Drosophila melanogaster: one gene and its partners. The protein of the gene in region 3 interacts with the protein of the main gene of each other region in a pairwise test. Each region holds a gene or a part of one and is shown on either strand. Other genes may lie near its edges.

What was found.
Region 1: the proteins of Tsp33B (region 3) and Tsp86D interact in a two-hybrid assay, tested with the Drosophila melanogaster proteins (one large-scale study listed by BioGRID).
Region 2: the proteins of Tsp33B (region 3) and heix interact in a two-hybrid assay, tested with the Drosophila melanogaster proteins (one large-scale study listed by BioGRID).

The regions. Positions count from the first base shown.
Region 1 is NT_033777.3:10,866,864-10,870,618, reverse strand, and holds Tsp86D (tetraspanin 86D), read right to left. Parts: upstream 1,912-3,755; 5' UTR 1,587-1,911; coding exon 1,034-1,586; intron 977-1,033; coding exon 654-976; coding exon of another isoform or gene 579-653; 3' UTR 64-578; downstream 1-63. Other genes in the region: SelR (selenoprotein R), read left to right, coding at 2,578-2,647, 3,643-3,755.
Region 2 is NT_033779.5:16,298,174-16,301,928, forward strand, and holds the start of heix (heixuedian), read right to left. Parts: upstream 1,686-3,755; 5' UTR 1,140-1,685; coding exon 699-1,139; intron 21-698; coding exon 1-20. Other genes in the region: CG17328 (uncharacterized protein), read left to right, coding at 2,138-2,263, 2,320-3,435. UniProt on the Drosophila melanogaster protein: Prenyltransferase that mediates the formation of menaquinone-4 (MK-4), a vitamin K2 isoform, thereby acting as a mitochondrial electron carrier.
Region 3 is NT_033779.5:11,790,614-11,794,368, reverse strand, and holds Tsp33B (tetraspanin 33B), read left to right. Parts: upstream 1-2,003; 5' UTR 2,004-2,065; coding exon 2,066-2,818; intron 2,819-2,993; coding exon 2,994-3,101; intron 3,102-3,156; coding exon 3,157-3,276; 3' UTR 3,277-3,344; downstream 3,345-3,755. Other genes in the region: CG14937 (uncharacterized protein), read left to right, coding at 322-343, 423-1,738; CG14932 (uncharacterized protein), read right to left, coding at 3,433-3,755.

The DNA of each region.
Region 1 (3,755 bases), on a different chromosome or scaffold from region 3:
AACCAAGTGGAGCGATAAGACAGGTACTTTGTGCTGTTTTCACCATATGAAAAAGTCACGATTACACGTATAGAATGCCTGTATTTAAATACGCACTACAACAACGTTTGCAGACAAACACGCGTACAGATACTTAAAAATGATAATAAGTCTATGTATCTAGTATGTTTTTCAATTTAACAAACATGCATGCAGTTTTGGTTTCGTCGTTACATATAAATCTCATTTTAAATGCATATTTCTTATGGAACTCGCTAGCTTATACACAAGTGTCTTTTAAATAGTCTGATATTGCATACGTATAAGAGTAAAACTTTAGATGTGTTCGACTTTACTTGTGACTAAGAATGCGCTGACGTTTAAAAAACATACAGAGCAAACGAACACAAAGGAGTATAAATACTTTTTCCTAAGCCTAGGAGAGTATGAGAATACTATTGAAATACTATTATCGCGGGACATTAGAACTTAAATCTATCGAAAACACAAGAGATGGTATATAGGGAGCTATGGATTATTCTAGGAGTGGGATTCGGTTTGAAATTATTTGAGCACGGGCAGGACCAAAAAAGTCCGCCTCACATCCGCGAATTGTAATACGGGTCGTCTTCGCATGGCGGATATCCGTAGAGATACGGATGGTGGCATTGCACTCACGACCAGCGCGACTTCTGCAGGTCGATCTGTCCCTCCAGGGTCTTGGCCAAATAGATGACGAACAACTGCAGCAAGGCTATGCCCAGGGCAACGCCGGCAATCACATACAGATTCCTCTCGACCCATACTCGCACGATCTCGATGCAGCCGCTGGTCCAGATGCGCTTGCTGGCGGCGGCCACTGAACGCACCTGCACGCCATAGCCACACATGATGTTCACTAGGCCGGAGCTGATATCGGTGGCATTAATACAGCAGCTGTAGGGCACTCCACATCTCTCCACCGACGGCGATGAGCAGTTGAAGTACTCGTTCTTGCCTGTATGCATACGGACATGGAATTAATTCGTTTGTGGCTTATGAATCAAATACTCACTCCAATCCTGGTAGCCGGCGTTGCTCAGGCCGCAGCAGTTAAACTCCTGCTGGGCAAAGTCGATGAAGTTTTGCAAGTCGGAGTCGTCACGGTACGAGTGGATGATTTTGTCCGTGAACTGGTACTCGAGGAACGAGTTCATGTACTGCGGGAAAACGAAGCAGATGATGGCCAGCGACATCTCCAGTATGAAGAAGAGAAGCAGGCACATGGAGTACAGCTTTAGCAGCCAGGTGTTCTCGCGCAGCGCACCCAAACAGCCGGCGAAGCTGACCGTGAAGACGATGACTCCGGCGATGATCATCACCAGGGAGATGTTGAAGATCACATCGTAGATGGTGTCCAAGCGCAGCCAGCCATTGCCGTCCATCAGTTTGTCCATGAAGGCGTACACGCCGATGGCCAGGAGCAGGCCGCCGAAGAGCCAGAAGAGGAAGTTTAGCAGGAAGATCATGTACTTGACGCAAGAGGAAACGTAGCTGAAGTGGTGCGGATAGGTGGAGATCCGCGGGTGCATGTAGTTGCCCCCCTGATGGTATCTGTGATTGCTCATGGCCACGCGAATGTGCAAGTCGTGTTTTCAGCCGAGTATTTCGATGAGTATTACTTTTCCTGGTATTTTTGCCCAGGTTTCCTCCCCCACGGTTTTTTCTTTTTGTTGACGCCCTCTTTGCGTGTGGTCTCTTCAGCGGCCTGCACGGCTGTTTTGCTATAGTTTCGCAGTGCGTCAGTGGTGGACTGTCTAACTCTGGTGTTTCCCCGCAGCGAATATGATGAATTAACGCACTAGCTTAAATTTTATGACTGATAAGCAAATTTATGGAGCCACTAAAAATAACAAAGTGCCCGGCGTTGCCAGACGTGCTGTCCAATTAGGCAGCAGTTGGCAGCGCGGCCAGTCAGCTGTTCGCGTGACCGTACTGCCTTTGTTGCCTATCATCCAGCATTCGATTGGCAACGCGAGCCAGCCAGGTGTTTGATTTTCATCGCGTGCAGCTGTTTTCCCAAGCAGCTTTTTTTGTATTAGTTTTTAATTTTCCACCGCTGCGTAACATTGCGACGCACGCTTGTTTTCGCCCGCGTTTGGCGCATTCATAAACAAAAGGCCAAAAATAGAATCAGCACCATTTAGAGCGCTATTCAGCAGGTGAGTAGTTTTCCAGCTTAGAGAAAACCCAAGGACGCACCATTTAAGTGTGGGAAAATTAAGTGTTTTTTCTTTTCGGTTCTCCGCTGGTGACATTGAAGCACAATTGCGAGCGCATTTTCCCTAATTGAGTTGCGACTTTCTCTGCACTGCGCTTTCTCCTCGCCAAGCGTTCAAAAGCAGAAAAGCGCACGAAAATAGAACGGAAAATGTGGGAAATGTGGTAGACGGAAGTGGCAACGCGAATTGCATAAATATTAGTTAGTACGCGTGGGCAGTGCGCAGTGGACAAAACATTGACTTTTCCTCCTTGCTCTGCTCATTTTCCCCCTGTTGCTGTGCTGATTAAATAACCAGGCAGTGCCAAGTGCAGTTGTCACCTGAAATTAGCCACATAATGTTTGCACTTTCTGCTCGCCACGCACTGCGGCGCACTCGAATATTCGCCATTCCACGCTTTTTCGCAGGTGAGTTGCACTAAAAAGTCGCAGGTATAGTTTGTAATACCTGTGGGCGTGTCAGCCCATGCTCATCGATTGGCCATCGGCTAATTTTAGACACAATTTGAGTTGATTTTTTTATACATTTGCATTCTATATGAACGCAATTTAGCCGCTATTTTCTGACTTTGCTCGCAATGAATTCATTGTCTTCAATTGCCCGCGACACACTTGGCTGGCTTTTCTATTGTTGCACTCGGAAAAACCGAAAATAAAAGGTGACTGCTCCACCTACGCTATTCGATTTTCGGTTTTTTTTTCGGCTTTTCCTTCGCCTTCGTTTGCTTTGGGCGCCACTCCGTTTGATTGACGGCGGGCAAGCAGCATAAAAAGCCATAAAACTATTTTTGGCCCAATGCGTTTCTCCACTCCATTTGTTGGCCGCACTTAACAAATCTGTTTACACCTTCATTAATTAGCAGGCAAGTTTGTATACAAAATTGGTGTTACTAATTCCCTGGATGCACAACTTTGATTTTGAGTTTTCAAGATTGTTAACAAATTGTTTAAGAAAATGATAAGTATTTTCTATATTTTGTACGCTATATATAGCTTTTGTTTAATATTGGAATAAGAATATTTATGTATATATTTCCTTATCAAATTGGGTTCCAAAAATGCCAAAAATTTTCTTCATATAATTCATTTTCATAAATGGTATGGTATCGTTTGTATGAGAAAACAAGATGATTATGAGTTTCGAGAAAGTATTTTCAGCAACTCATGGCTGATAGTAGTAAGCTTCTTATCGTCAGATGGCCGCATTCAAATAAGCGAGTTGAGATTGCCCAAGGTTTCGTTGAAAGTCCCACCGATAAGTGGGCAGATTATGAGGGAAATCTTACAGAAGCTTGACGAAATCCCCTACTCAGTTTCCATTACCCAACTGCTGGCGAACCGAAAAGCACACTCAAACCGACCCGACCGCAAATCAAATACCAAAGTATTGTATTGCATTCCAGATTCACGCCAAGACAGCGACAATCCGGACAAAAGGTATTCCGGACCAGCAGCGACTATGGATAACAAGAGCGAGAAGGTTACGGTGAACAAGGAGGAGCTGCGCAAGCGCCTG
Region 2 (3,755 bases), 4.5 Mb from region 3:
ATGGCACCCAGCGATACCACCTGCAAATTAACAAATATTTATTATTTATAATTGCGGATAAGGATTAAATCTGCTGTCATGCTGTCATAATTAATTTATGCATATTCCAATTAAATTCCATTATAAAACGGAAAAAATTGTCCTATAGAAATTCGATAAAATTATAAATTTAAAAGTATTATTGTTTGAATACTCTCTAATATATTTGCCCTTGATTTGAATTAGTACCTTGCTAATTGCTACCAATTCTTGATATTGTTTTCGCTTCCAAAATGGTTTATGATTTCGGCACGTTTTTTTCTGAACGTATATAAAACTAATTTAATTTCTGTTCATCTGAAATGTACACACATACACTGAATGCATTTTCAAATATTTTAGGTGTTTAAAATTGTTTTTGTTAATTTAAAAAGAAAATTTGAGAATCTTTGCTTCGCCACTGACAAATTTGAATTTAAATATCACGTTTTGCCATTAAAGATTTAGAAGTGCTCGCGAGTTTCTTTGCATATAATTTGATTTTTCGGAATACTGTATTTGCAAATGTGGAATTTTGGTGAACACGTCAGAAAAATCGAAAAATGTTTGAATTTTACTTTTTTGAAGTTTTACTTTCCGAAGGATAAGAGTAGGCTCTATGCTCTATGGACGGATCTGCACTCTATTGGCTTGATTGATCCATCCGTTCGATTGCTCACCTCATCCTTGGTGAGTATGTGATCCACCAGCGTGCGGTCGTCGGCTTTCTGCTTGTCAATGCCCTTGATGAAGTCGAAATAGGTGTTAACTACGTTGCCGGCGCAGTGGACGGTGACCACGGTGAAGGCGGTGAGAAAGAAGGTGGCCAGCGAAAACTCCTCCGCCCACTGGGAGCGGTAGGCCAGGGCTGAGCCGAGCAGCGTTGGAACCAGACTGGCGGACAGCGACCAGGGACGCAGAGCTAGGAGATAGGTTTTCAGTTTCATAAACGTTCCGGATGTGGATGGGTGTCCTGTTAGTCGTCCCGTTAGTGCTACTCCGGCATCTGCACCTGCTGCACGAGCTCCAACAACGGCTTCCACCTCCTCACCGTCCTCTGTCTTGGTCTTGCCATTCCTGGACAAGTTGCCATTGGGCAACAGCTGGCTGCTTGTGGCCATGGCAAGCGGCACTGGTTAACTGGCACTTTGCGGTGGAGTGAAACGAGACTAGCCGCCAGGTATTCGTATTCGTCGGATTGTTTGACCTTGGTCACCTCCTCTCCAGAATTTGTTTACAATAGTTAAAGTATTCAATTTGTGCCTTTTTGGATGCCGGCACATGCGCTGCCTGGTCTCGATAATCGCTAATATTGTATACACAGCATCTTGAAAGTGGGGAATATATGCGGGGATATGTATATTATCAGCGGGGGGTGGAGAGCTCAGGTGGTCGGGGTCCCGAAACCACGAAATTTCACCCGTGCAGCTCCCAGTTTCTCACGCTCTCTCTCTCTCGCTGCCCCTCTCTCTCTCTCTCTTTTCCTCGACCGGTGCGAGGATCGTTCTTCTTATATGCCTCTCCTTTTCCGGCTGCGTCTTTGCTTCCGGCTATCGATTCCGGGTTAGTGGCGCAAATCGATTTGGCTGCGATTTTACTCTTAGTTATTTTAATCAAACAAATCAACTGTCACGTCACGTCAGCGCAAAAACGAAAAAAGGTTACACTTTTTCGTTGAAGGTGGCAACGCCGTATCGCATGTGCAGCCCTGCCTATTCCTACAGTTTTTACCCAAATTTCATAAATGAAAATAATTCAGATAATATGCAATAAATATTTAGCGGTACATGTATGTGCATTTTTTATATAATTCGTAAAACAAAGGTGGGTTTTAAATATTTATGTAATCATTGTTATCAACACTTATCAACGTAATTAGTAGTTGAAGTAGCTCACCAAAATATTACTATATCTTTTGCATATTTGCGGAAATGAATCCACATTGAGTATGAAATTCATTTTAAACACGCGAAACAAATTTAATCATATATGATAGATTTGTTTCACAAGCTAGAGTTACGACTGTACCGTTGCAGCCCTGGTCCCAATCAGCTGATAGGAGTTTAGAGCAAAATTTTCAATAATTTTTTTGTTGATTTCTATAAAATTGAAATAAAACATGGACTATAATATCCACAAAATATGCAGAGTTTGCCTGGAGGAACTACATCCTGTAACTTCGATATATAGTACAGACTTTGCTATGATGCCCTCCGTAATGTTGATGCAATGCGCTAAAATAAGAGTGGGTTCTAAAAACAAAATATTTCAATGTTAATTGGCATATGGAAATTGTTTTAGGTTTTTAAAACCGATGGCCTACCTTCGGTGATCTGCAACAACTGTATTTACCGGCTGGGGGTGGCCTTCCACTTCAAGCAGGAATGCGAAAACAGTGATCTCCGACTGCGACAATATCTGGGCATTCTGGAATCCTGGCGCCAGGATGCGGCCACCAATACGGACTTTGTGGAGAAGCCGTTGCTTCCGCAGCGCGATAGCGATGAAGAGGAACCCGTGGATGCCAAAGTGAGCAAGAGGCGGTCGCGCTATCAAAGAAAGCCGCCAGAAGAGCACAAAAAACGGGGGCCCAAACCTGTGCCAAAGATGCCCCACACCTGCTACGAGTGCCACAAAAGCTTCAAATGCATTGCCCAATTAACACAGCATATAAGAACACATACTGGCGAGAAACCCTACCAATGCAGCTTTTGTATCCAGAGATTCGCCCAAAAGTACAATCTTAAAGTCCACGAAAGAACGCACACGGGCGACAAGCCTTTTCAGTGTGAGATCTGCTCAAAGCAGTTTTCCGCGTTAGGCAATTTCCAGGCGCACCAGAAGATTCATTTAGGAGTGCGGGATCAGGTATGCTCGCTATGTCAGAAAGGTTTCTACACCGCCGGTGATCTCTCCAAGCACATGATAACCCATACGGGCATCAAAAACCATCACTGCGATGTCTGCGGCAAGGCTTTCAGCAGGCGAAGAGATATGCGGACTCATAAATTGAAGCTTCATCCTCTGGAGTCCAGTACAAACCATGATATAGTGGATGATGATGATGATGAGGCTATAGACACGGATCCCGTGGGTCTGGACACCCTCGATCACGCCCACTTCAAGTGTCCGGATTGCGACAAGGCATTTGATACGGCGGACAGCCTAAGTCTACATTTTCGCACGCATGCGGCGAATAATAATCTACTGAATTTGCCGTTGCCTCCTGCACCACCTATGTCGCATCACTACCATCACGATGCACTGCATCATCTCGGCCCACCGAATCCCGCCACACAAATGGGAATGGCTGCAATGGCTCACATGTTGGCACCGCCGCCGCCTCCACCGCCAACGCCAAGTGAAGGACGTTACACTATGCTGCACCACACGGCGGCACAAAGACTACATTATTAGAGTATAGCTACGAAGATTTATCTTAATCATAATTATTGTTTTAGATTATGTTTTGATATTGAACACTTTTATTTAGTTTGTCTATATAAAATGGAATATTTTGTCATGTTTGCTTTTATATCTTTACAATAAATACATGTAGAAATTTGGCAAGCACAGCTTCTATTAAGATTATTACTTAAATGCAAGAACTAAAATCACTAAAAACTCCCCGCGCGTACTTGTCGCATACTTGTCGTCGATATAAAAATGTCATTGTTGTATAAACTAAGCTTGATTTGTGTTTTCTGTAGGTAAAAATTGTAGTATCTCAATATTGG
Region 3 (3,755 bases):
CAAAACAAATAAATGAGCAGCAAAAACGCGCAGCATAAGCATAAAACCGGATTTTACAAGAAACTGAGTAACCCTGAGTAGAATTATATTTTTTGGTTAAGGATATTATTATGATTTCGTATCTCTGGGATACCCCGAAAACTATCGCTTCGTTTTCCCATCTCCAAAAGGATAAGTCGTTTAGGTAGCGCGAATTCCGCCCGATCTGCCTGGAAACCCACCCCTAAATGACCTTCGCACTAGGTAGCATCGGACTACTGACCGTGGCAACTGCGTGAATTCATTAGTATTCCAAGTACCACGATCGAGAACAGACCGCAGATGACGTCCGCAAGCGATACAGGTAAGGAATTGGCTAAAAACGAAAAAAAAAAAAACAATACAACTGAGCCTATTAAGACGATCGTCCTTCAACTTTTTAGAACCCACTGCAGTAACGCTGCTCCAGCTGAATGACGATGTCCTGGCTTTGATCATCCGCCAGCTGGACACGTACCAGCAGTTCCAGATTAGCAGGTTGAACAGGCGCTTGGCGGGCGTAGTGCACATGCTCTGGGAGACCCGTGTTCGCAACGTTGTCCTGCAGGACGAGATGTTCGGACGCTCGGGAGCCAATTCCCGACAGTTTGTGGCTTTCATCTTGGCCCTGGCTCCGCACATGCAGCACCTGAGTTGCAAGCAGTTGGATGTCCGAAGACTGCGACTGCTCAGTAACCACACGCTGGAGAGGATTCACTCTTTCGAGTGGCTGGGCAATGTGTATAGACGGAGACGCGTTCGCTTCGTGGATGAGGATGTGCGAATGCTGCAGAGGGTATTTCCCAATCTAAAAAGCCTCAAACTTAGAGGCTGCCAAATTACCGGAAAATACCTATGCGACCTGGATGAGCTTACCGATCTCCGCCTGCATGATTGCCATTTTCTGGAATCGCAACACTTTAGGGACATCTTCCGGCAGCTGCGACTACGCAAATTTGACATAATGGAGGACTGTGACGAGGTGAACTGCTGTGATCTGGCGGATCTGCAGCTGTGTCCCACACTGGAGCATATCAAGATTGCGGATTACCACGTGTGTATGGAGTCGGATATTACGCAGCAACTACTGACATTGCCAAACCTGCGAAAGCTGTCGATCTATTCCAGGAACTTTGTCTTTGATGTCCTATCGAGGATAGTTAGTCCCACAAGTCCTCCCGGCGATGGCCGACAAATTGAGGCCTTTAGTTTCAGTGGAGTTTTGCACGACTATGGCCGGTTCTTCAGGGAGCTGGGAAATCTTAGTCACTTGACGCGACTGGAGCTGCACAGCCAGCCAGAGGAAGAGGAGGAGAAGGAGGAGGGCGTCCAGGTGCAGTGCCTGGGGGATCAGATACTGCGGCAGCTAGCCAGTCAACTGGGTGAGCTAACCGAACTCCATTTGTGTGGCTATCAGTTGGAGAGTCCTTTGGGCCTGCTGGAATTCGTGATCAATTGTCGACAGCTGAGAGTCCTCGACATCACTCGAACCTTCTGCCATGGAGAATCCTTCGTCTGGAGGTGTATTGCCATTTTGGCCAAGCAAAGCTGGCGCATTCGCCCTCTAGAGCTGTGGATCCGGCATAGCGATATCAATCCGGAAATAGTTCAAAGTTCGCGCTGCGTTGATAACATAAGGCTGATAAAGGTGGATGCAAAACAGATTGGACCCAATACGGACTACACATCTGGCGTACTCAAGTTTAGCTTTGTGCGGTAAACCGCTGCCCCATGAGTGGGATATGCTCCAACTGATCAAGCTCCAAAATGAAAAGGTTTTAAACTGAAATATAGTTAAGTGTATACATTTATCAACTGCTTACCAAATAAAAAGATGTAAATATACATATTTGTAAAGCGATTTTTCAATGCATCATTGTTTTTACTGCCCTTAGGGATAAAAAAAATTAAATTCAAGTTGTAGTACACTTTAAAATTCAAACACCCAAGTCCTTGCAATCAGCGTCAATCCAAATGAAATTCGAGTTCAGAGCTAAAACCTCGTCGACAAGCCAAACTTTGGATCGATGCCCACGAGGATGACCAAATGCGCCAGCCCTTCCGCCGAGCCTCCGTCTACCTCCACCTGCTGTTAATAACCGAGGCCGTGATCGGACTGCTGATCCTGGTGGTGACCGCCTACTACCACACCGTGCTCACCGGCTATCTATCGGATATTGAGTGCCGCCTGGTCTACGGCTATCTGTTTGGGATCTACGTGTTTGGCGCCCAGGTGGTGGTGACCTTTCTCTGCAGCATTGCCATGTGGCGGCGAATTTGGCGGCGTCGCTGCACGCCGAACATTCGCCTCTTGCTATCCGTGTGGGCCTTCTACTCCTGCGTAATCATTGCCTCCGGTTTCGGGTGCGTTTGGAATCTTTACCGGGGTGTCGATGTCCTCGAGAATGCGGCGGACACCTCGCTGACCCGCGGCATCGACATGTACTACTCGTGTCCCGAGTGGAAACTCCTGTGGGACGGACTGCAGTGGCACAAGGAGTGCTGCGGGGTGCATGGCTACAAGGACTGGATGAACGCGGAGTGGATGCCACGGCGGGAGAATAACTGCACGTCGATGGTCCTGGCACCCTTCGCCTGCTGCAAGCGCTCCTGCGACAGCTGCTTTAACAATTTCCTGCCCAGTGAGGGGCAGTCCATCGGTGGCAATAGCCGGCAGCCTTTTCCCGCTCTCACCGTGGACTCAATCAATGCGAACGGATGCTTGCCTGCGTTCGTTAGTGCGGTGTGGAACTGCTTTTACATCCTGATGGCGTTATGGGTCCTGGCCCTTAAGTTTCTGGTAAGTAATTGGTAATGGGCAACGTTTTAAAGTCAGAACAATGGTGAATATTGGAGCCATATTCATTAAATTCTGTCAAATTCATTAGCGTAAGTCATATTGAAATCAAAAAATTTGAATATGCAACAAAATTGTATTTTAAGATAAGACCTCCCTAAGTCAATCATCTTTTTAGATCGTGCTTTGTTGTATGACCAAGTTCATAGTTCACCGGCAGAACGAGGGCGATGGCTGCGATAATGTGGGACTCACGGACGATGATGGACATCCCTTGGTCGTGGTGGTGGGTTTATCCATTTACTATCCATCGATAGCACCTAAATCAGTCCATTCCCCAGAAATATCCGTGTAACGTGCGCTGTGTAACAATTGCCGAGGATGATCTGGTATCCGACAACGTTCCCGATATTAACTACTGCAATTGCACCGAAATGGACGACGAACCGTGTGGATACTAATATTGTGCTTAATTTTACTTTTATATTTTATATTAATTTAATTAAATTTACGAATTTGAGTTAACTTCATATCCAATCGGTGAACGCAATATATTATTTATTGGATATTATAGGATACTTATTACATGGATGTTGTAACATTGGATGTTAAATGGATTAACGGCGCATCCTCTTGGATTTCTTCAAAGTCTGACCCACCAGTTGAGCAATATGTTTGCGCAATGCCAAGAAAGGCTTCAAGCAGACGCGCTGCTCGACGAGACCCACAGCAATGCGGTGAAAGAACTCGGTGACATCCACGGGCTTGGCCAGCAGCTGACCTTGTGATACCGAGCCGTTTTCCTCTGAGGCCTCGGGCGTAGGGCTACGTGCCATTCTACGGATGAATGGTTCCAAGTTGCCCCTGCTACGTTGGGAAACGCGAGCTCCAATGGACTCTGATAGCGCATTATTGGCGCGAGAGAAGGTGAGACGCTCCT